6 linked regions of the Canis lupus familiaris genome follow. The protein of the gene in region 4 purifies or fractionates together with the protein of the main gene of each other region. This does not show direct contact. Links are inferred from orthologs where the notes say so. Each region holds a gene or a part of one and is shown on either strand. Other genes may lie near its edges. The genes, in order: MED13L, MED12L, MED25, CDK8, MED24 and MED16.

Region 1 (4,032 bases), on a different chromosome or scaffold from region 4:
CGGGGGTTCGAGCTCCGCCGCCGCTTCTTCCCCGCCGGGCGACCTCGGGCAAGTGACTCGGTCTCTTCGACTTCATCTCTTTGTGCTTCAGTTTTCTCATCTGCAAAACGCGGACGCCCGAGCGCGACCTCGCCGAGGCACTCCCGCAGCCCGGGGGACCGGCAGGCGAGCCCACCGCAGAGCCCCGCCAGGCCGCCCCGCCTGCGCCGCCCCGGGGGGCCCACGGCGGGGACCACGGGCGTTCCCGGGGCCCCGCGGTCGCGCCCCGCCGATCCGCGCCTCCGAGGGGGGCGGGGCACGGCGCCCACGCGGGGGCAGCCCACGGCAGCGGAGCCGCGCCGCCCGCGCTTCTTTCTCTCCCTCTCGCTGTCCCTCCCTCCCCCGGACGGAGGCTCCGGCCGCGCTCGGCTCAGCAGCGCCGCCCGCGAGCCGCCCTCCAGCCGCCGCCGCCGCCGCCGCCGCCGCCGCCGCGGCTGCAGCTCCAGCTCCGGGCCCCTCCCCCGCCCCCGCCCCCGCCCCCCCGCGCGGCCGGCGCCCGTCACGTGACGCGGCGCTAGCCAATGGCGGGCCGAGCCGCGGTCGGCGGCCGCCATTGCTGTCAGAGCGAGCGAGCCCGGGGAGGGAGGAGAAGCGAGGCTGACTGGGGAGGAGGGGGGGGGTGGGGGAGGAAGAGGAAGGAGGGGACGTCGCTCGGCTGCCGGGGTCGCCCGCTGGCTTCGTCCGCACCCCCCCCTTCGCGAGTTCGCGCTCCGCGGCGGCGGCGGCTCCGAGGCGGCGGCGGCGGCTCCGGGGCTCGCCTCCCCTCACGCGCCGGCGGGGGCCGGGGGGAGTCGGTGGCTGGAGATAAACAAGGCGGCGGCGGCGGCGGCGGCGGCGGTGGCGGCGGCGGCGGCGGCGGCGGAGGCACAGGGAAGGCGGAGGCGGCGGCCGGCCGGGAGGCAGCGGCGGCCCTGAGAGGCGGGGAGGGCGCCGGGCCGCGCGGACAGCGCCCCCCGCCGCCGCCGGAGCCGCGCGAGCCGCCGCGGGAGCCGCCGCGGGAGCCGCCGCCGCCGCCGCCCGAGCAGGAAGGAGCCGCGCGGCCGCCGCGGACCCCCCCGCCGGCCCGGGCCCGCCGCCCCCGGCGCGGCGTCGCCGCGGCGCCTCCCGCCCGCCCGCCCGCCCGCCGGCCCTCGCGCCCTCCTCCCCCGGCGGCGGCGGCCCGGCCGCCCCGCGCTCCCCGGCGAGGCGCCGCCGCCCGGCCCGGCCCGGCCTCGCCTCGGACGCCTCGCTCCGACATGCCCCGCTCTGGCGGCCGGGCTCGCGGAGGATCATGACTGCGGCAGCGAACTGGGTGGCGAACGGGGCGAGCCTGGAGGATTGTCACTCCAACCTCTTCTCGCTGGTGAGTAGCCGGGCGGCGGGGAGGGGGGCTGCGGCGGGGGGGCCCGACCTGCGCCGCCGACCAACTTTCTCCTCCCGCCGCCGGGACGTCGCCCCTCCCTCGCCGCTCCCCGCCGCCCGCCGCCCGCCGCTTCTCCCCCTTTTGGATCGTCTCTCCCTCGCCTTGGATCCCGTCCAGTGTTTATTTGGCTCTTTAAAAATCATTTGTGAGCGCGGCGCTCGGCGTGGAATTTGCATGTGGAAGTCTCAAAGCTGCGGATTCTGGGTCGCACTTCGAACGCCCACCCTCTGTTGCCATCACACCCCCTTCCCCTCCCCTCTCTCCCCCCCCCCCCCTTTTTTACCCCTAAATGTGGAAGGCTTTGCCTTGTGCTGCCCGCGCCCGCGATAAGCAGCCTTTTCTCCCCCCCCCCCCGCCCGCCCCCCTTGCGGGATCGGCTGCCCGCCCGCCTTTCGAAAATTTTTTTTTAATTCCGTAATGACACCTGCAATTTCGCCCGAAAACAGTTGATTGAATGCGATTGTGTCAGTAAAGGACTCTTGCACCCGAAGCTCCTGCGATTGTAAACAGCGACGGCCGCCTGCCTCTCGGGGCTCCCTGCGCCGGAGAGCCGGAAAGCCATTGCACCGAGCCGACGGAAGGTGGAGGAGCCTTTTTCTTCCCTCTCTCCTCCTGTGTCTTTTAAAAACTGTTTTCTCTATCCTAACAACGAATCCACACACACACACAAAAGCAACAAGCTGGGCGGTTTGATAACATCGCTTTTATCTGCCTTCGCCTTTCTCGCGCTCTCTCTCTCTGATAATTGACAACTTTTCCCTCGGATTTGAATCGCCTGCCTTAATCTTGAAGCAGTTAGGGTGTCAATTGTTCTCCTGGAAGCCTGGCACCCGACGACGACGTCTAGATTCATCGAAATTAAAAATGTATAGGGCTCCAGCAACTCTTTCCTGGCGGTGGCACTGACATTTGGTGGTAAATGCCATCTTTGCTTTTTTATTGGGTCGTATTACCTAGCTCTGAAAACATTCACCTTGTTAAACCTGGCGTTTAGGCTAATAATTGCGGTGCGTGGTCTTTAAATATGTGCTTTGTGCATGAGTTACTGTATGTATAGCTATGTGCCCGGGAGACTACGAATTTGTTTAAATATTGAGCAAAGATTTGTAAACAGATGTAAGGCAATTATGTTTCAAGCGTAGAATATAATTGGAAAATTGGCTGAACGGTTTGTTTAATTTAGCTTTTAAAAAAACCCAACTTAAGTCATGTACCCTTTTTGAGGGGGACTGCCTTTGGAGAGCATGCATTTTGGAAATTGTTTTCTGTAACCCCTGCAGTAGATAGAAGCATCATTTCCTTTTAATCCTTGTTTACAATTACACTGGATAAATAATTTAGTGTTCAAATTGTAATTAGTTACATTTAATTATGGGTAGGCATAGATGCTTTTTTTTTTTTCTCTTTGAGACTAGTGGAGAAATACACATTCTTGCCAACTTTTCAAATGGAAGTGTTATTTTATTAAATATTTCCTTATGCAGATAAAAAACATCAAGACACGTGATTTTTACCTACAAAAAGACGGTGACATAATATCTGTACTTTAAAGTATAGATCAGGTCAGTCTTTTTTTTTTTTTCTTCCAACATTTTTATTTAGGTATTCAGTCTTAAAATTCAATTACAAGTTTCAGTTCTGCCTCTTCGTACTGTGATAATTTTCCCTTGATCTTTCGACATATAGGAATAGAATTCATTTTGCCACCTCTTTTCTCTCTCCCAGTATATCATTTAGTATCAGTCAGATTCAGAGACTTTAATAGATTAGCAAACATATTGATTAAGGGGTATTTAAAATGGTTTTTGTTTGGTGGCTGGTGACCACATTGACACTTTAACAGGTAATTAAAATAACCAAGTAGACCAATATTAGTGAGGAGAGAGGCCCGAAATTACCATATATCATTCAGACTGGTAATGGCTTGTGTATATGTGGCTAATTTATATACAGTAGATTTTGCAGACCAATGAAATTATACGTGTAGCCAGACTTTAGGATATATCATTTTTTTATCTTTTTTTTTTTTAACTCAAGGATGATAATGTTAAAGAGATAAGATGCTTGAGATTCTTTTGGAGAAACAAGCAATTTTATAGGAGAGGATTTTGTGTTTTATGACTGACTAAAGGTTTGTACTTTGGGTATTTCTCTCCTCAGCCTTTTTAAACCAGGAATTGAGGGTTGTTGTTGTTTGTGTGTGTGTGTGTGTGTGTGTGTGTATAGTATTACTTATTAGGTGGCAACTTTGAAATAAAGAGCTGAGGAAATGCATGGGTTGACCTTTTCTTTTTTATTTAACAACTGTAGAATGTCTACATTCTTTTGTGTATGAAGGGTGGATAAGGTGCTAATTTTTTTTTTTAATTGAGAATCTTAAAAAGCTGATGATACTGTGAATTTTTGCTCATTCCAAATGAAGAGTTTCCTTGAAAAGCAAATACAGCAGGAACCTAGAATTTTAAAAATACGTTGTCTGAAGTACATTGTATAGAATAGTTAATTCCAAGGGAGATAAAATCATCTCCTGTTTAAAATAAAGCATGTATTACAAGGACTCTTATGTGCTTAATGATAGCATGTATTTTTCT
Region 2 (4,154 bases), on a different chromosome or scaffold from region 4:
CCTAGGAAACCAAGTTTCTTAAAGGTTAATTTAAAGAAAACATTATGGGGATCCCTGGGTGGCTCAGCGGTTTAGCGCCTGCCTTCGGCCCACAGCGTGGTCCTGGAGTCCCGGGATCGAGTCCCACGTCGGGCTCCCCGCATGGAGCCTGCTTCTCCCTCTGCCTGGGTCTCTGCCTCTCTCTCTCTCTCTCTCTCTCTCTCTGTATCTCTCATGAATAAATAAAATCTTTAAAAAAAAATAAAGAAAACATTAGAATAAAAGTACAGGTGATACAGGGATAGGAAGGAACTCTTGGGAACCTACATAAATAACTGAAGCTTGTGGAACAGGGCTCACCACACCACCACCCAAGAACAGCCAAGCACCTGTTCCATATTGTATTCAAATTTGACTGTGGCCACACACAACTCTGGCTCTGCTCCAGAGAGACGAAATATTGGCTGCCTTGGGGGAAAGGGGGTAATATCCGAACAACACAATTTAACATGAATCATTCTTAACACAGTATTGGTCTTGACACAAATACTGGTTTGGTGGTCCGAATCCTCCGCTTCTTTTTCACACACCTTGATTAAGTCAAGCAAGCTTCCTGGGGCCTCAGTTTCACTTTGTCAAAAGAAAGTTATATAAAATAGGTTCTAAGCTCACTTCTGGTTTTGAACTCCAGAACATGTTGTAAAATCCTAAAATCCAAAATAATTTTTTCCATAGTTGGAGAGGCCTCAATCCCGAATGAGCGCTGACCTGAGAAATAAACACTATATATATTAAGTCCACACGGCATCCCAGACGACCATCCCGTAACTAGGGAGATGCTATTAATTACACTTCCCTCTGGAAAATATGGCAAGACGTTACAAGAGGAGAACGATGAGCCAATCAGTATCGCTGTCCCCACCAAAACTTTAAAAATTTCCTGACACTGATTTGTAAGCGACTACCTTTGTTACGGTCGGTCCTCAGTAACTGTTATTTCTAGTCCTTAACAATTAACTTTAATCTGAGTGGAAACAGCCCAGAGAGAAATAGATGGAGAGGGAATCTGCAAGATCTCATCAATCCATCCTTCTGTGAATGAAGCCTCAACAGAACCACCTGTAAAACCTTCCCAGCTTCCACCTGAATTCCTCACTCCACGGATGCTCCAACATGTTTACGTGCTTAAGCCTCTAAAAGGAACTGCCACTCCTTAATTTCCAGAAATATTAACAGAAGTTTAATCAGAACAAGCATTCTTCCTCTGTTACTGAAATAAATACCTTTATCCAAAGGGGAGTCCTAAGGACCCCTCCCTCTTTCTTCACAAAGCCCTTTCCGTGATGTCAGTGGGCCTCCAAACTTTTAACAGAGGATTTTTAGATTCCCGGAGAGAAGTTCTGCAATGTGCTCACTTCGTTTTTAGTGTGTGTTGTTTTTTTGTTTTTTGGGTTTTTTTTTTTTTTTTTTTTTTTTTTTTGCTGGAGAAAACAGAGGATGGGTGGGCTGCAGCTGGCAAAGTCAGAAAGCACAGCTGGGTGGCAGGTGATCTTTAAAAAAAAAAAAAGAAAGAAAGAAAAGAAAAGGCAAATCCCTGGGCAAATTGTGTAGCCAAGGGTGATCATTATAACTGGAGAGTTGTTACATAATTACTTCTTAACTACTGACAAACACATCAATGGCTATAAAATGCCATGGTTACTCCAGACACCGAAGCCAGTGTACCTAAGGCGAGAGTCGAGCTTTCTCCCGTTTCATTCAAAGAAATAAGCCATCTCGGGACTCATTTCCCTTCCAAGGTAACCCGTCGGCTTCTACATATACAAAACAGCCTCCCGCAATTAAACCAATCGCCTCTAGGGACGAAAATCAGGCTCCCCTTAATACTGATCTTTTTTTTTTTTTTTAAAGGGAAAAGGGGGACTACAGAAAGAAGTGCGTGCAAAGACCTCAATATTCATCACCTCGATAAAAAAAAAAAAAAAAAAAAAAAAAGACTTCCCCAGCAAACGGGAAAATCCGACCAGAAAAGGTCTCCCCTCACCCCACCCCCCACCCCCTCCACCCCCGTCTCCACCTCCCTCCACCCGGTCGCTGCTCAGCTGGCGCAAAACCTGGGGACCCGTGTCGGAGGCACCGCATTCCAACATTTCCCCAAAAGTTTACGAGGACAGAGCGGGGCAGCGGGGACCGAACCACGGCCGGCGGCGGCCGGGGCGCGCGGGCGAGGGGGGCTCGGCGGAGGGGGGCCCCGCGGGGCACCCGGCGGCGCCGCGCAAGGCCCGGGGACGGGCGACCCGGGTCGCGGAGAGCGGGCGCCCCCGCGCCGCGCAGGGGCCGCCAGCCGGGGGGTCTCCGCCGCCGCCGCCGGGGACCGGGGACCGAGGACCGAGGACCGAGGACCGGGGCCCCCCCGCCCCCCGCCCCTCCCGCGCCCCCGGCCCCGCAGCTGCGCCCGCGCCGCCCGCTGGGCCAACTTGGCCCCGGCTCAGCGCTGCGGAGCGCGGCCCGGGGCGCGGGGGAGGCCGCCCCGCCGGCGCCTCCTCACCTCCTTCTGCTTCGGGTCCTGCGGGTAGACGTCGGGCGGCCCGAGCCGGGGGCGCTTCAGCGGTCTCTGCTCATAGCTGAGGAGCCCGAAGGCGGCCATGATCTCTCATGTTAACCGGCGAAATGAATGAGAGTTGGAGCTGGAGCCGCCGCCTCTGAGCACCAGGGAGCAGCACTTTGCAGACAGGCTCGCGCGCCCCCTCCTCGCCGCTCCTCGCCGCTCCTCGCTCGCTGCCGGGGCGCTGCCGGGGCGCTGCGGGCACGAAGAAAGCGGGGTGGCTGCAGCCTCTGCCCGGCGCGCACGCAGCCTCCCGCGGGCACCGGCGGCGCTTCGGGCCCGGGACGCGCCGCTCCTCCCGTCCCCGGGGGGGGGGGGGGGCGGGGGGAGGAGCAGCTGCTGGGGACGTGTGACTTTTTGCACCAATGGACCCAAACCCACCCCAGCCGGACACGGGGGTGGGGGAGGGGCACGGGCAGCGGGGGGGGGGGGGCGCGGAAAAAAAACTTTTCTGGGCGCCCAGGCGGGCGGCCCCAGCGCTGCCGGCAGGTGAGGGGGTCCTCGGGCCCCGGGCAGGGCGCCCCCGCCCCCGCCGCTCTCGCTCGGCGGGGACCCCTCCCCGCAGCCCCCGCACCTGGGCGCGGGCCGGGCCGGGGCGCAGGGAGCGAGGCCCGCGGGGATGCGGGCGCGCAGGGGCTGGACGCCTGCCTGGCTCCCGCGGCGCTCCGAGGCTCCGGGGCTCCGCGGCTCCGGTCCCCCCCCCCCAGGCGGCGGCGGCGGCGGCGGCGGCGGCTCCGGGCAGGCGGCGAGCGCGCTGCGGGCGGTCGCGGCGGGGCTGCAGGGGGCCGAGCTCGCGGAGGCGCGGGGCCGCCTTAACCCTTTGCGGCGCCGCCCGGGGCCGGGGGAGCGCGGGGAGGGCCGTGCGCGCCGACGGCGGCGGGAGCCCGCGGACCCCTGGGCGCCGCCGCCCCCCGACGCTTTACCTGTTGGTCCCCGCTAGCGCGCAGGGGCCGGCGGCGGCGGCGGCACCCGGGCGGCCGCAGCCTCCATGATCCGGGGCGGGGGGCGGGGGCGGGGGCGCGGGCGCGGGCGCGGGGATCCTGTCGGGGAGGCCTGGGCCCGCGCTCCGGGGACCCCGCCAAGTTTGCGGCTGGCTGGGGGCGGCGGGCGACGCCGGCTCGCCGCCGCCGGCGTCCTCGCCCCCACGGCCCGGGCGCGCGAGGCTCGGAGTTGGCGGCCGGCGCGGGGCCGCACTGAGCATGCCCACTCGGCGGCCGGCCCGGCACTGGCGAGCGCGCTCCGAGCCGCCGCGCCGGGTTTTCGCAGCCGCAGAGCGCGCCGCCCGCGGGCCCGGGCGCCGGGGGTGGGGGGGTCCCGGGGGGGCTCGGCGCGGGGGGCGCGCCCGCGGGACCCCCCCCCGCCCCCCCCGCGGCCGCCGCCCGGGTCGGCCTGGGCCGGAGCCTCACCTGCGCGGGGGCCGGGGGCGCCGAGCCCATCGCCGCCCGCCCCGGGGCCTGGGCGCCGGGAGGCCGCGCCACCTGCCGCGAGCGCCGCGCCCCCGGGACCCGGCGGGGGAGGCGCCGCCACTTGCCCGGGGATGATGGCTGCCGCTTCGGGGCCCTCCCTCCGT
Region 3 (3,500 bases), on a different chromosome or scaffold from region 4:
TTCACTTGCAACCCAGTTCTTACTAGCTCCCTAGTTGCCAATTCAAGGATTCCTTGAGACTCTACTCAGGACCACAGGGCCAGCCACGGCCCCACAGGGACCCTGGCCTAGTCCCCAGTCCTAACAGGCCATGAGATCCATAGGAATCCTCAAGCTACTCACCTCCTGCCATTCGAGGACCCCGCTCCAGGCCAGGAGTTTGTTGGACACTGACTGCTGCCCCCCAAGGGCCGGGGCCCCCAGCTGCGCCGGGGCAGGGCCACTCACCCCACCTGGGGCCACCGTGCCCGCCTGCCAGAGGGGAGCAAGGAGGGCAATGGAGCAGGGTCAGACCATCTCCTGGGAGGGGTGACCCGAGAGAGACAGACAAGCAGGAGGAGCAGAGTACAGGCGCCTTCCTCAACACCACTCGATGGTCCCTCAGACCGTAAATGCTCTGACTTTGTAGGATCCCAGGACTCTGAAGACCTATGGATATCCTGACTCCCAGGATCCCTTGGGACACCTCTGAACAGTTCTAACCCACCAGAAGCCAAAGCCCCACTATTCCATCCTCAGACCCTCTAGTCTCAGTTGTCCATGGCACAAGCCCCAGGAACCCCTGAGGAACCAGAACAAGACTCATGTACCCTTACACCCTCCTCAGGAAGACAAATTGCTTGGCCTCTGCTCTGTTAGCAGCTGGAATGAGTAGGGCAGTGGGGCAGACATACAAACACCTACCATGGATGGGGCCCCAGGTTGTGCAGGGGGGGCCAGGCCTGGGCCAGGAGCCACAGTGGAGACCAGGCTGGGCTGGGAAGCAGGGGGTGGCTTGGGGGCGCCAGGGGGCCCCGGGGGTAGTGGTGGGGCCGGTGCCTGGCTGAAGGGGGGACCCACTCCTGGAGCAGCTTGTTGGAGAGGGTTAATGGGTGAGACTGTGGGAAAGACCAAGAGAAGAGGTGGGGACAAATGTGCAGAGAGGTCTGGACAACCCCAGGCCACCCCAGATTCCCGCCTCAGGACTCACAGCGGGGGCCCAGCCCAGCCTTCTGGTTCTTGGCGGCTTCCACTGCATTCTGGGCAGCCACCTGAGCTGCACTCAGGTTCCCAGGGACCTGGGAGTGGAAGGCAATGAGGACCACACACCCCAGTCAAGGTGTCCCGTGGGATCATGCCACCATGCCCCCTCCCAACTAGGCACAGCTACCCCAGTTGTGACACCGCAGCAGGATGACTCCCATCACTCCACAGGGATGTGATTCCTTGGCCCCAAGAGTCCACCCATCCTAGCGTCCCAGTGGAGAGTCCTGTCACCCTACAAGCCCCAGCATCCAGCTAGGTCTCCCCAAGAGGCAAGGGATCCCACAAGGACCCAGGAACACATTCCCTTTCTGGCAACATCCATACCTGGTACTGCTGAGGGACGGGGGGCAGAGGCTGCTGGGGCGCTGCTGAGAGTGAGGCACCCGAGGGTGGAGCTGGAGGCAGGGGGACCGGCTGCTTTGGCTGCAGGGGGCCTGGGGCTGAGCCACCCCCAACTGAGAGTGAAGCATGAACAACCAAGCCCCCCATGAAGGGGTTTGAGGAAGGGGAGAAAAAACCAAGTCAGAGAGAGTTGAGGGGGCCTGGCCCTCTCCTCTTCACTCCACTGCTGGTACTCAGGCCTCACCTGGCAGCACAAGCCCCCGCACCAGCACCATGTGCCGGGGATCCTGGCTCACATCTGTTGGTGGCTGCAGCGGCTCCAGCAAGGCCGGTGGAGCTGCCTTCTCGAACAGAAGCCTCAGGGCAGGCAGCTTCCGGGGAGACACGATGGAGAAGTGGATCCCTTGCTGCAGGAGGAGAGATAAGCGGTGAGGGTGGGGCCACAGGGGCCACCCCCAGGCTACCACATCTCCTGGGCCTTAAAACAGGATTCCCATCAGGCTTTGAGACAAACAACCCTGAGACCTGTATCAGCTGCCACAGGGGATTTGGGGTTATAGTTCTTCCCAAAGGTGTTTGTTTGCAGAGCAGGCCCCAAGTCAGGAGTCCGGGCCCCAGCCCCCTCTTCCCTGAGATCTGGGAGTCGAGCCCTAGCCCCTTGCCCAGGCTCAGGAGTCCTCACCTCACCTATCTTCTGCACGAGGCTCTCTGTGGTGTACCCAGAGTATGTGGTACTCTCGACGGCAGGGAGCAGGTACGGGGGTGAGTTACAGATGAGGAGGCAGACGCGGTGTGTCTGGCCGCTGCCAGGGAGAAGGAAAGACGTGGAGCCGGTAACAACAGGGGCCCCCAGAAGGGACAGACCCAGCCCTAGCCCCAGCAGGGTGCAAGTGGTCCATCCCACAGGAAGTTGGGAGTACCAGCCCCATTTTACAGCCGAGAACACCGAGACCCCGAGAGGTTCCTGACTCCCTCTGGCTTCCCTAGCAGATAGGGGAAGCAGGCGGCAGACCCAGAGCAAGGCTCCTCTTCCCAATGAGGACACCGAGACCAGGCATTGGCCAGGGGACACCTCTTGCCGCCTGCCTAGAGCACTCAGCACTCAGCCCACCCGCCCCCCCCACCTGGTGTGAGGCGTGGGTGGAGTCCTGCGACAAACAAAGTCAGGTGGAAGGAGACACCTAGGGGCCCCACGTACTGGGCACACTCACATCTGCTCCCGCATCTTCTTGAAGTCATCGAAGAGCTGCAGGGCCGTGCTGAGGCCTTCCGCGATGAGGCTACAACTCTCACCACCCCCGCCCATGAACCTGCAAGGGGTGAGACTATCAGCCCCAGGGTTCCCCGTGGCACCCAGGGCTGCCACCTCCCAGCCCCCAGCTCACACCTGGAGAGCCTGCACCTGTGTCACCCTCCTCCCCACACTCCACTTTGCACTGGGGCATAGAGACCCTGTTGAGCTTCCTGTTCTATCCCGTGCTGACTCAGCGCCAGGCCTAGTGAATGCGGATGAGGGCTGTTTGTCTTCTCCTGATGGAGGCCCTCTGGCCAGCAGTCCTGCCAGAACACAGAACAGGGAAGAGCCCAGGACACCTGGCCTAGGATCTCATCCCGTGTCCCCATCCCTGTGCACCTTCCCTTTGGGCTGTTCCATGTTTAAAGCCAGCCTGGCCTTGGCCCACCCTCCCAGCTCAATGTGGGGGCCTCCTCCGTCCTCCCCTTGTCATGGGTTGAATTGTGCCCCGCTCCCCAAGAAATGTTGAAGTCCTAACTCCCAGTACCAGACGTGATCTTATTTGGAAACGGGATATTTACAGAGGTGAGGTGACTACAGAGGTCACAGGGTCGGCCCTAATTCAACATGACCTGTGTCCTTGTGATCAAAATCCAATGTGGACATTTGGATACAGAAGCAGACATGCTCAGAAGGAAGACAATGTAGAGACACAAGGTGAATGCCATGTGGATATTGGAGCAACACTACCACAAGCCAAGGATCATTTAGGGACATCAGAGGCTGGAAGAGACAAAGAGCCTCCCCTAGGGGTTCCAGAGGGAACATGGCCCTGCCCACACCTTGATCCTGGACTCCT
Region 4 (4,062 bases):
GTCTAAATTCTTTTACTACGTACTCATGTTCTGTGATGCTTGCTGGACAACCGAAAGGATACAACATTTACATATGTTCATTTTAATAGGCAAATATGTCTAAACAAAACCTATTTTATTGTAAATCTCAGGATTCTCTTTGAAGGTGTAATTGGGTTCCTAGAGTACTCTGAAATTTCAGTTACAGAATGTATAATTTAATTTGAAAGTAAATCAATACTAGAAACAAATTATTTCATCATCATCTTTTTACAAAAGATTAAACAGCCACAGATTTTATTTTACCAGGACTAAAATGCATTAAATTACATTTCACTGACATAAGATCAAAAGAACCTCATAAATACAATGCAGTATTTTACCAGAGGGAGGTTATAAGAAGCCAAACCAAAAATATTCCCTCTGGAAAACAAAAGCTGTCTTAAGTAATTTTAAAACTCTCTTGACATTTGATCCTTCTGTATGTTTTTAAAGTTCATCCTATAAACAAAATCATTAAAGGTTGCTGGAAAACAAGCCCAAAGAATTATAAAGTTATTTTTTTTTCCAAAATGCAATGCTACTTTTCAGCTTTCACAAATGCCTAAGAAATGTTCACATACTATATACATTTAGCTATTTTCAAATTGTATATTTCTTCTAAAACTATTCTTAGTCTAAATTAAAACCTAACCATGAGGTATAAAATGTGGTTAAAAGTACCTCTTGGCAATAAACAGTATCATAGGTTTAAAATAAAATATAAAATCAAAGTTAATAAATTTATGTATTTTATTAGCTTAAACTATTAATTTATGAAAATAAAACTGGCTTCTCTCAGAGAGATTAAAAATAATTTAAGGTCACCATAATTTTATAAAGCAGATGACAGACTAGTTAGATGTCCTACTATGTCTACTCTCATGGGATTGAGGATTTTCTGAATATGCCCCAAATTAGGTAATATTGGGGGAAAGGGATATGGTTTAAGGATTTTGAAAAATATTATATGAGAAAGGTGATTTTAAAAAAATGTTATTAGAATTTTTCAATTAAAAATATAAACAACAGAGTCAACAGCAGGCATCTCCAGTCTATGATTTCTCAAATGTCACCAGATTATCTTCCACTAAGTACTTTTAAATACATGCAGCACACAGAGTATCAAGTTTTCAAATCCAGACCTTTTGCAGATATCTGTACTGCTTTAATTGCTGCATATAAGCACTGAAATGCACCATACTAAATTTATTAGAATCGCTATCTTCCTCTAAGAGTCCCTTTTAAGGTATCTTAAAAAGATATCTTAGTAAATCTAAGAAAAATGTCGAATATACACTTCCTTTTCCAATATCCAGAATATTAAAGTATTTATAAATATGGCTCCCCCCAACTTACTTCAGCTTTATGAATGGTTTCATTTTTCTAGCGCTAATATAGTTCTGAACATACCCTCCTACCTAATTTGGGGAGGGGGGGGAAAAAGCAATCATTTTAAATGGTGAAAGGTAGCTAGCAAATTAACAGTGATATTCAAATAAACCTACTTTGTTTACACTGAAATCTAAAGATTATATAATAAGCTCTGACATTATCTTTCCAGCAATTTTCCGCACGGTCTAAGGCGATAGAGACAACATACGTTTTTACAAGAGGAAAACAAGGAGTTAATAAAATATATTTTCCCCTCAACTAAGAATTGCCTTCTCTTTTGTCAATATTACACGACATTCATCTACTGACAAAGGAAAAATGAACACTTCACTTGCCTGTTTAAGAAACTAAATTGAGAGCATTACCAGTCGTAGACTTAATTAAGTTATTTCTAGGGGAAAATATTTAAAGCAAAGGGACTATTTACAGTTCATTGCCGACTGCTACATTTTGGGGGAACAGGCCTGAACAAGATAGTCCCCTATTTGTCCCTTGCCTTTTTTTCCCCACCACCCACCCTGCACCAAACCCCCATTGTTCTATGTAAAACTCAGGTTAATGATCTCTAAATAGCAACTGCTACGTTTATATCCGATTATCACTACGAAGAACTCTGCAGCATCACCTTTACCTGCTGCTTTCTCCCCCCCCCCCCCAAATAAAATCCAAATTTGGTAATAAATCAATCACACCCCGGTGGGGGGCAAGGATCGCAGCTTCCCTTCCAGACTGACGGATCTCACTCCAGAGGCGTGAGGAAATCCCCCAGAAGGTCACCATAATAAATCGAGGCATCCCCCCCCCCACCCACGACGAAAATCATTTAAGCTGACGTTTTACTACAATTCTTTAAAAATCTAGAACCGAAATCCTTGAAAAGTGTACAGCCCCTGGAGTAGATGCTGCTTCTCCCTATTAGCCAGCAAAGTAGAAGACGAAGGCGGCGGCGGCAGGCAGGGCTTCGCGTGGGCTTGGATCCCTCGTACGGCACTTCCTCCCCAAACCTGGCTGGCAGGACCCGATGCTGGTGCCGAGGAAGTGGGAGACCGGCACGCCGGCGCCCCAGCACCCCCCCCCCGCCCCGGGCTACCTGCCTCGGCCTGCGGGAGCGCCGCCCAGCGCGGACACCGGCACCGACACAAACACTCACCCATCTTTCCTCTTGGCTTTGTAGACGTGACCGTAAGTGCCGCGGCCAACTTTGCAGCCCTCGTATTCAAACAGGTCCTCGACCCGCTCCCGCTCGCTGCTCAGCTTCACTTTAAAGTCATAGTCCATTGTCACAGCCTCCGGGGCCGGGGAGCTGGGTCGGGGGGCCGGGGCGCAGGGGTGGGGACCGGGGAGGCACCGGCAGCCGCAGCCCCCGGGAACCCGCCCGCTCTACGCCCGGCGGCCGCAGCACCAGCCTGACTGATGCGGCAAGAGCAGGAGGAGGCCCCGCGAGAGCGCCGGGGACATCCAGGGGGGCGGCGGGGCAGAGGCCGGCCGGGAGGGGGGGCACGGGGAGGCTCCCCCGGGCGCGGCGGAGCGGAGGGACGAGGGCTGGGGGTGGGGAGCGGCGTCTCTGCCCTTGTCCCCGCGGGCTCCGGGGCGCCGGCTCTCCGGCTCGCTCCTGCTGCGCGTTCTGCTCCCGCGGCGGGGAGCGGCGGGGCGGCCGCGGCGGGCTCTCCTCCTCTTGCACTCGCACTCACGCCTCACCCGCTCTCACACACACGCTCACACTCACTCACTCACTCTCTCTCTCATACACTCAAACAGAAAGGCAGCGCCGCACAACAGCCGGTACCTCCTCAGAGAGAGGAGGGAGGGAGGGGACGCGCGGAACACGGCCACGGCTGTCGCAAAAACGTCGCGAAGGCTCCGGCTGCCTCCGGGCCTCCCCGCAGCCCGCTCCGCGTTGCCGGTCCGGCCCCGCTGGGGCCCGCACCTCGAGGACCGGGTGGAGGAAGCGGGGTGGCCACTGCCCAAAGCTGCCGCTGGATGAACCACGTGGATTGTCCCGACGGCGGCCAGGGCCCCAGACTACAATGCCCAGAATGCACGGGCGGCCGTCGTTGCCACCCCCTTCTAAGACTCCGCCCCACACGGTGGTAATACGGGAGCGTTGCATGATGGGATCAGTAGTCCCAGGTGAAATTAGTGGCAATCGCTTGGAGGAAAAAAAAAAAATTTTTTTTTTTTACAGCAATATCACTAGAGCGAGATTTGGGCCATAAACATAACCAGAAATTTTTTGCGAGGGAAGCTAGTTTGCATTAGAACCACATTTTGTGCCACTTCCGAACTCCAAGATATTAAAGGGCATTATCATTATCGAAAGTCTGTATGTTTGTAAACATCTCATCTCACAGACGGTTCTGTGTTCTTGTCGCTCACAATCTGATAAGGGCTGCACGATGATACCAACATGACACATATTACAAACGTCGGTAAAAGTGAGTCAATGAGCCCGAGTGGTCATAGTTTTAATCCTGTAACAGGTGACCATCTGAATGCTTCCCATCCATTCAGAGGGAACATTATTTTGAGTACAGCCTTCTGCACCACTGCCTAGAACAGCAAAGTTTAGCCATGATTACAGCAATGAATCTAAATGCATGGAAACTAAATTGTTGATCATTTTAAGTAGGAAAGGTGCCAGCTGAAGGT
Region 5 (4,107 bases), on a different chromosome or scaffold from region 4:
TGGAGACCCAGGATCGAATCCCACATCGAGCTCCCTGCATGGAGCCTGCTTCTCCCTCTGCCTGTGTCTCTGCCTCTCTCTCTCTGTCTCTCATGAATGAATAAATAAAATCTTTTTTAAAAATGGGTTTAGGGATCCCTGGGTGGCGCAGCGGTTTGGCACCTGCCTTTGGCCCAGGGCGCAATCCTGGAGACCAGGGATCGAATCCCACATCGGGCTCCCGGTGCATGGAGCCTGCTTCTCCCTCTGCCTGTGTCTCTGCCTCTCTCTCTCTCTCTCTGTGACTATCATAAATAAATTAAAAATAAATAAATAAATAAATAAAAATAAAAATGGGTTTAGATATACAGGAAAAGATATAGTAGGGAGCCCCCATCTACCCCATACCCAATTTCTCCTTTTATTTAGCCTCTTATGTTAGTATGGTATTTTTTTTACAATGAATGAACTACTATTGGTATGTTATTATTAACTGATATCTATGCTTTTCTCGTATTTCTTAGTTTTCACCTAATGTTCTTCTTCTGTTCCAGGACAACATCTGGGAGGGATACCAAGTTACATTTAATAATTATGTCTCCTTGGGGATCCCTGGGTGGCTCAGCAGTTTAGTGTCTGCCTTTGGCCCAGGGCGGGGTTCTGGAGTCCCGGGATCGGGTCCCACATCGGGCTCCCTGCATGGAGCCTGGTTCTCCCTCTGCTTGTGTCTCTGCCTCTCTCTCTCTCTGTGTGTGTCTCTCATGAATAAATAAATTTTAAAAAATTATGTCTCCTTAAGTTCTCTTGGCTATGACAGTTTCTTAGACTTTCCTTAATTTTAATAACCTTACCCCTATTTTCCTCCTTAGTTCTCCCCATATTCAAGCAGTATGCGGGGCCAGGAGATTCTGGGAGGACTGCCAAATCTGGGGGTTAAATGGTGATGTATGTGCAACTGATCAAGCCCCAATGTCGCCTTTGGAATACGAGAACTCTGGTATATGCAGAGGTGTAGGAGCACCAACTAATTAATTAATTAATTGATTGATTTAAAAAAAAAAAAGGCCAGAGAAGAGAAAAACGTATTACTGAACAAAAACCACACCCCTACTGTGCCTACTAGCATATAACGAAAGAGTGTCAGAATATCATTTAAATGCCTGGTCAACAGTGACGTCTTTGGGCGACGCCTGTTTACGAGCAGTCTTTTGAGAGCTCTCCCCCTCTTCGCTCCCGGAGTCTCTGTGATGCTTCAGCTCCTGCCTGTCCTTTTCCAAAGCAGAGAAACAATGCAGGCTGACTAGCTTAGTCCCTTGGGTTCTCACTAGCCCAGGCCAAGGAACTACAATTCCCAGAAGACATCGTGGAGTGACCTGTCTCTTGCCGCATTCTTATTGGCTCATGTTTGTTACTCCCAGCCAATAGAAGTTAAGCTCTTTGATAAGTGCCAAGATGGCGACACTTAGGATGTAGAACTAGCTTGTACGGTAGGCTTAAAATTGGGGAGGTGGTGGATGAAAAGGAAATAGGGAATTATAGTTTCAAGGTTGGGGGAGGTGGAGGAAATGGAGGAAAAACTGTGGGTTTGGGGTGGTAGGGGCTGAGGGACGCAGCCAGAGCTGAGGGCGTAATTAGGCATTCGTATTGGCTTAACCCCTTGCCACCCTCTTTACTCTTTATATTAAGTCCCTTTGACACCCTTTTCTTAGTGCTCCAGTTTAAGGAAGGATGATTCAGGAGGGAGGAACCTGACAGAATCTCTTCCTTGTCCTCTTCCCCATTTTTTCTTTGTAGTTCTTCTGCCTCCCTTAAATCTTCCCGTATCCGTTTCATTCAACCTGGCCCTTCTCTGTTCTTTCCTTCAGAATCTCCTCTCCCCTTCTCTTAGCTCAGTTTCTCCCACCTCAAAGCTGACTGCCATCGGCCCCTTCTCCGAGTGAAATCATGAAGGTAGTGAACTTGAAGCAAGCCATTTTGCAAGCCTGGAAAGAGCGATGGAGTGACTACCAGTGGGCAATCAACATGAAGAAATTCTTTCCCAAAGGAGCCACCTGGGACATCCTCAACCTAGCAGGTCTCAAGTGGAGTAGGAAGGAAGGATGGGAGGGCTAAACCCATAAAAATTATAACCACTCAGTCTTGCTTTGTTATTCCCCTTGCAGAAGCACTACTGGAGCAGGCCATGATTGGACCTTCCCCCAATCCTCTCATCCTGTCCTACCTGAAGTATGCCATTAGTTCCCAGGTAAACTGCCCCACCTATTCCAGAGAGTGAGGATTTGAAGGTAAAAGACTTGGAGTACAATCGTCAGCTCTCGCTTTCTAGGTGGATTTGTTTCAACACAACACTTCTCTGAGCCTCAGTTTTCTTGTGAAAATAATAATACTTCATTGGTTGTGATGAATGTTACATGAATTTATTCTATCAATAAATATTCATAAGTGTGTCAGATAGTGGTATAGGCCCTGGGGATATAGCTGTGAACAAGACCTGATCCCAGTACACACAAGGAATTTAGTGAGTAATAACAGACATAAGCAGTCACAGGATGGGTTTATTTATTTATTTATTTATTTATTATTATTATTATTTTTTAAATTTTTTTTTTTATTTATTTATGATAGTCACAGAGAGAGAGAGAGGCAGAGACACAGGCAGAGGGAGAAGCAGGCTCCATGCACCGGGAGCCTGATGTGGGATTCGATCCCGGGTCTCCAGGATCGCGCCCTGGGCCAAAGGCAGGCGCCAAACCGCTGCGCCACCCAGGGATCCCACAGGATGGGTTTATGACGAAGGTTAAGACAGTACTAGGGGAGTATGTGCGAGAGGCATGGAATTCAGCTAGGCAATCAGGAAAGGCTTTCTGGAGAAAGTGATGTTTAAACCAAGATCGTATTGTTAATAGGAGTTAGCCAGGCATATTGGTGAGAGTGTACTAAGCAGAAAGAAAAGCATATTTAGAGGCTGGGAGGCAAAAATCACATGTTGTTTAGGAACCGAAAAAAATTTATATGGGTAGAGCAGTAGTTTTGGTCTCAGGACCCTTTTATTTTCTTAAAAACTGTTGAGACTCCCACAAAGCTTTTGTTTATATGTATTACGTCTATCCATATTTACCGTTTTAGAAATGAAAACTGAGAAATTTAAAGAATAATTATGAACTTATTTAAAAGTAATAAAAAGTAAAGTCTGTTAAATAAAGCCTGTTATATTACACATTAATATAAATAACATTTTAATGGAAACCATATTTCCCAAAACAAAAAAGCTAGTGAGGAAAGTGTCATTGTTTTACGTTTTTGCAAATCTCTTTAATGGTTTAATAGAAGACAGCTGAATTTTCATATCTGCTTCTGCATTCAATTGTTGCAATAGGCTATTTTGGTTGAAGTTTATGAAGAAAATCTGGCCTTACACATCAGACATTTAGTTTGAAAAGGGCAGAGAATTTTTTTTTTTAAGATTTTATTTATTTATTCATGAGACACAGAGAGAGAGAGAGAGGCAGAGACACAAGCAGAGGGAGAAGCAAGCTCCATGCAGGGAGCCCGACGTGGGACCCGATTTCAGGTCTCCAGGATCACACCCCGGCTGCAGGCGGTGCTAAACCGCTGCGCCACCAGGGCTGCCCAGGGCAGAGAATGTTAAGCTTTTCAAATAACTGGATATTCATTGACACCAAAAATTCAACAGGTGATGTGAAACCACATAAATGAACTTAAAAATAAGTTAATTATTTTTTAAGTAAGCTCTTCATCCAATGTGGGGCTTGAACTCACTCACTACTCTGAGATCAAGAGTCTCATGCTCTGGCTCAGTTGGAGCCAGGCTCCACTCAATGAACTTTTTATACTCTGTTACATTGAAATCCATTGGTCTCTCTCTTGCATTTTGAACAGATCTTTTACTCATGCATGATTTTATAATATCACGAAGTGGTCATGTGGAAAATATCTGTTACTGGGTTACACAGATATTCCAATTGTTGACACATTTAATTATATGATTCACATGTCATGGAGCCTTTGGGATGTTCCACATACAGTTGTGGGAGAATGAGAGTAGAAAAGGCAAATAACATCTTAGCAATACTTTTTTTTTTAAAGATTTATTTATTCATAGAGACA
Region 6 (3,975 bases), on a different chromosome or scaffold from region 4:
TCTGAGAACCACCGTCGTCGCACGGCGGCTCACCGAGGACACGGGTGCTCACAGTTTGACTGCAAGCAGGAGTTCGGCCCAGGACTAGAAAACCAAAGGATGCAGGTGGAGGGAGAGGAGGCGGCAGAGAGCAGGTGGACAGGCAGGTGAACGCGTCACCGACTGCACCTGCTTGCTCAGCCGGGACACCCACCTTTTCCACGTGCAGCGCCAACTTCACGCCATTGTGCAGCCAGGACAGGGCCACGATGGGGTCACCCTCCACCAGGCTGCCCACGTGGCTTTCCCAGCTGTTGGCCAGGTGGTCCGCCATGCTCCAGCACTTGATCTGCCCGTCAGCATCAGCCGACAGGAGCCGGGAGCCTGTTGGGGGCAAACCTGCGTTGCAAACCCTCCCCGTGGGCAGGGGCAGCTACTGGTAGCACGTCCGGGGCCTGGGAGAAGCAGCCTGGTGGCAGCACAGCAGGGGAGTGGCACGAGGTGCGTTCCCGAAACAAGTGTGTGCACTGGATGCGAAGAGCAGCGGCCACAGAGCCACAGGCTGAGGCTTCAAGTCCCAGAAGTGGACTCGGGGGATGTGACCAGGAAGACAGAGCATATCGTGACCCTGAGATTCAGGGTCAAGGAGGAGCATCACTGTCTCCCTCAGCCACGCAGGACGACCTGTCCCCAGGCCCCTCCTCACCTGACTGGTCCCACTCGAGGCAGGTGATAGCCTCGCTGTGCTCTGAGTTGACGGAGTGCACATCCCAGGGGTGTTCCGTGTCCAGGATGTGGATCATGCGGGTGAGGTCTGCGGAGGACAGCGCAGTCAGCACGGCAACCATAACCACCCTGGAGCTTCTGAGGACCCCAGGAGGGCTCAGAGAGGATTCCAGCGAACGATCTACCCTACGGGGATGGCAGGTAGCTGCGCTACCGCTAACCACGCAGAGAGGCTAACCACGTAGAGAGCCCTGCTGCCAACAAGGAACAGCCTTTGTGTTCCTGGGTTCCCTCTGGGGACCACAGCAGGCCTGTGACCTTGCCACTAGTGTGACCGTGTTTTTATTTTTTTTTAATTTTTATTTATTTATTTATTTTATTTATGATAGTCACAGAGAGAGAGAGAGAGAGAGAGAGAGAGAGAGAGGCAGAGACATAGGCAGAGGGAGAAATAGGCTCCATGCACCGGGAGCCCGACGTGGGATTCGATCCCGGGTCTCCAGGATCGCGCTCTGGGCCAAAGGCAGGCGCCAAACCGCTGCGCCACCCAGGGATCCCATGACCGTGTTTTTAAAAGAAACACAGAGAGGCGTGTGGTTGGTTCAGCTGGCTGAGCGTCAGCCTTCGGCTCGGATCATGATCCTGGGGTCCAGGGATGGAGCCCCACATCGAGCTCCCTGCTCAGCGAGGAACCTGTCTCTCCCCCCACACCCCCTTCTCTCTCTCGCTACCCACCTTGAATAAATAAACAAAAATCTTAAAAAAAAAAAGAAATCAGAAAACAAGAAAATGCCCCCAAATGCTAACAACGGGCATCTCTCCACGGCTCTTTTTCCTTATTCTAAATTCCTCTGCTTTCCTAGTTTCCTCCAACAGATACGTGCTACTTAAACAACACACAGAAAACAGGGCCCCACGAAGCAACTTCAAAGCTTCTTCTTTCTTTTTTTTTTTTTTTTTTAAACTTCAAAGCTTCTAAAAGCAAGATGCAAACGTACAGTCTGGGAAACTGGGGCTCAGGGCTCTCAGCCCTAGTGGACCACACACCCCAGGCCCTATTCCAACCGGAAGGGGTGATTCCGGGGTCCCACCTACTCCAGCCCCAACGCCAGGTGCAGGAGCGGTGCACCTGCCCTTTGCACGCCTGTGAGGTTAGGGTCCTCACCACCCGTCGGTTATGGATGACAAAACCCTGAGAGGGCCACATGGGTGAGGCGCAGCTCCCAGGCACGCCTGGAGACCCAGAGTCCCCCCAGCGCGGACGCTGGGGCAGGGGAGCTGGGCAGGGGGCAAGGAGGCACACCCTGGTCGTCGTTCCGCAGGTCAGTGGTGAAGGCGATGAGGTTGCGGCAGGACCAGGCACAGGCCAGGGGCACTGACGGGCAGTGGGTACTCTTGGGCCACCTCTCCCACTCGCACACGTAGGCCAGATCCATCGCGTGCCCGCAGGCCACAGGTCCCACGGCGAGGGCGGCCGGCTCTCCTGCGGGAGGGCGGGCTGGGTCACCGCGCGGTCCCCGCTGCCTGCAGGGCGCCGAGATGAACCAATCCCCGCCCCTGGGGCTCGTGGGAGGCCTCAGCGGGGGCAACACCGGCGTGCGGCTGGCAAAGGGCAGGCGCGCAGCTGCCTGGGGAGGGGCCGCCGCAGGTGGAGGGGCACAGGGGCCCACGCGGCCGGAGAGATGAGCGAGGGGGGCGGGGCGGGCGGCGGGGCCCGGAGGCCTCCACCCCAGGGGGGTCCCCAGGGGGGCGCAGGGCGGTACCCGGGCCCCTCCTGCAGCGGAGCCACAGGCGCCGAGCTCCCCGGCGGCCCCCCGCGCCGGAGGCGGGCCACGTCCTGACCCCGGGCCCGGGGCGCTACGAGTCCGCTCAGCCCCGCCGTGTCCCCCGCCGCCCGAGGCCCCGCGCCTCCGAGCCCCGACGCGGACGCCATGCCCCGCCCCCGCCGGCCCCCAGGCGCCCCGCAACCCCGAGGGCGGCCCCCCGAGCCCCAGCCCCGCGCTCACCGGGCAGGCGGCCGCGGCCCACACCCGCCCTAGCTCCGCGGCCCCGGCGCCGCCATCTTCCCCGCGACCAACGAGTCGCCCGCGCAGCGCGACCGCGCCCCAGAGACTCCTGGGAAGGCGGCGACCACCGCGCCCCGCCCCACTTCCGACTCATTTGCATACGACTCTTCATGGCGTCCCGGCAGCCACCTGAGTTCTAGTTGGTAGCACAGCGAGCACTTTCCCAACTTCAGCGAAGGATCCAATCTGGCTGCCCTACCTGCTTTGGGAGTATGGAAGAAGAGAGAGGTCGCTGACCCCGGTGTGGGGAAAAAGTTCACCCTTTGTGTAAAGTGACTTCATCTTGGGACTATAAATACTCGCTGGGCCGCTTTGGAATTCGTGCTCGCTTCGGCAGCACATATACTAAAATTGGAACGATACAGAGAAGATTAGCATGGCCCCTGCGCAAGGATGACACGCAAATTCGTGAAGCGTTCCATATTTTGCTTTTCTCCCCGGACATCCGCGTGTGGGGAAACTGAGGCTCCACACGTGGAGGCCTGACCGACCGAGCAGCGCCTGCGTCCCAACGTCCGGTGCCTGCGGCTCCACGGTGACGCCGGCCACGCGGGGTCCGCCCGTGAGTGGGCAACGCCCTACCCTTGGGGAACCCGAGTGCCCCTCCCCCCCACTCCACGGCCTCCGGGGCATCTCGTGGCCGTGCACGCTCTAGCGTGTCCGCTGGCCGCCAGGTTGGGCACAGGGGGTCCTCCAGGTGGGCTAGGCCGGGCAACCAGGTGGGTGCAAGGGGGTCCCCAGGTGGGCTCAGGCAGGACCACCAGGCGGGTGCAGGGGGGTCCCCAGGTGGGCTCAGGCAGGACCACCAGGCGGGTGCAGGGGGGTACCCCAAGTGGGCGCAGGTGGGGCTGCCAGGTGGGCGCAGGGGGTCCTCCAGGTGGGCGTAGGCTGGGCCGCCAGGTGGGTAGAGGGGGCCGCCACGTGGGTGCAGAGGGTACCCCAGGTGGGAGCAGGGGGTCCCCCAGGTGGACACAGGCAGGGCCGCCAGGTGGGCGCAGGGGGTCCTCCAGGTGGGCGTAGCCTGGGCCGCCAGGTGGGTGCAGGCAGCCGCCAGGTGGGTGCAAAGGGTCCCCCAGGTGGGCACAGGGGGTCCCCCAGGTGGGCGCAGGCCGGTCCGCAGGTGGGCGCAGGCGGGCTTAGGGGGCGCAGCCCTGATCCCTGGACAAGCCACACCAGCTCCCCTGGCGCCCGGCGGGCACTCAGA

Evidence for each region.
Region 1: the proteins of CDK8 (region 4) and MED13L purify together in Homo sapiens (affinity purification with mass spectrometry; 6 studies listed by BioGRID and IntAct, counting the BioPlex papers as one, with this or other methods). This does not show direct contact. The link is inferred for Canis lupus familiaris from reciprocal best matches to the Homo sapiens genes CDK8 and MED13L.
Region 2: the proteins of CDK8 (region 4) and MED12L purify together in Homo sapiens (affinity purification with mass spectrometry; 3 studies listed by BioGRID and IntAct, counting the BioPlex papers as one, with this or other methods). This does not show direct contact. The link is inferred for Canis lupus familiaris from reciprocal best matches to the Homo sapiens genes CDK8 and MED12L.
Region 3: the proteins of CDK8 (region 4) and MED25 purify together in Homo sapiens (affinity purification with mass spectrometry; 8 studies listed by BioGRID and IntAct, counting the BioPlex papers as one, with this or other methods). This does not show direct contact. The link is inferred for Canis lupus familiaris from reciprocal best matches to the Homo sapiens genes CDK8 and MED25.
Region 5: the proteins of CDK8 (region 4) and MED24 purify together in Homo sapiens (affinity purification with mass spectrometry; 13 studies listed by BioGRID and IntAct, counting the BioPlex papers as one, with this or other methods). This does not show direct contact. The link is inferred for Canis lupus familiaris from reciprocal best matches to the Homo sapiens genes CDK8 and MED24.
Region 6: the proteins of CDK8 (region 4) and MED16 purify together in Homo sapiens (affinity purification with mass spectrometry; 10 studies listed by BioGRID and IntAct, counting the BioPlex papers as one, with this or other methods). This does not show direct contact. The link is inferred for Canis lupus familiaris from reciprocal best matches to the Homo sapiens genes CDK8 and MED16.

What each region holds. Positions count from the first base shown.
Region 1 is NC_049247.1:13,395,099-13,399,130, reverse strand, and holds the start of MED13L (mediator of RNA polymerase II transcription subunit 13-like), read left to right. Parts: upstream 1-1,232; 5' UTR 1,233-1,309; coding exon 1,310-1,381; intron 1,382-4,032. UniProt on the Homo sapiens protein: Component of the Mediator complex, a coactivator involved in the regulated transcription of nearly all RNA polymerase II-dependent genes.
Region 2 is NC_049244.1:46,222,505-46,226,658, reverse strand, and holds the start of MED12L (mediator of RNA polymerase II transcription subunit 12-like protein), read right to left. Parts: upstream 2,801-4,154; 5' UTR 2,627-2,800; coding exon 2,528-2,626; intron 1-2,527. UniProt on the Homo sapiens protein: May be a component of the Mediator complex, a coactivator involved in the regulated transcription of nearly all RNA polymerase II-dependent genes.
Region 3 is NC_049222.1:107,405,568-107,409,067, forward strand, and holds part of MED25 (mediator of RNA polymerase II transcription subunit 25), read right to left. Parts: intron 2,718-3,500; coding exon 2,619-2,717; intron 2,211-2,618; coding exon 2,090-2,210; intron 1,815-2,089; coding exon 1,652-1,814; intron 1,521-1,651; coding exon 1,390-1,520; intron 1,098-1,389; coding exon 1,010-1,097; intron 918-1,009; coding exon 724-917; intron 292-723; coding exon 163-291; intron 1-162. UniProt on the Homo sapiens protein: Component of the Mediator complex, a coactivator involved in the regulated transcription of nearly all RNA polymerase II-dependent genes.
Region 4 is NC_049246.1:13,239,498-13,243,559, forward strand, and holds the start of CDK8 (cyclin-dependent kinase 8), read right to left. Parts: upstream 2,801-4,062; 5' UTR 2,692-2,800; coding exon 2,564-2,691; intron 1-2,563.
Region 5 is NC_049230.1:22,449,387-22,453,493, forward strand, and holds the start of MED24 (mediator of RNA polymerase II transcription subunit 24), read left to right. Parts: upstream 1-1,307; 5' UTR 1,308-1,466; intron 1,467-1,844; 5' UTR 1,845-1,923; coding exon 1,924-2,053; intron 2,054-2,141; coding exon 2,142-2,224; intron 2,225-4,107. UniProt on the Homo sapiens protein: Component of the Mediator complex, a coactivator involved in the regulated transcription of nearly all RNA polymerase II-dependent genes.
Region 6 is NC_049241.1:58,250,127-58,254,101, reverse strand, and holds the start of MED16 (mediator of RNA polymerase II transcription subunit 16), read right to left. Parts: upstream 2,801-3,975; 5' UTR 2,712-2,800; intron 2,189-2,711; 5' UTR 2,142-2,188; coding exon 2,009-2,141; intron 794-2,008; coding exon 686-793; intron 364-685; coding exon 194-363; intron 1-193. UniProt on the Homo sapiens protein: Component of the Mediator complex, a coactivator involved in the regulated transcription of nearly all RNA polymerase II-dependent genes.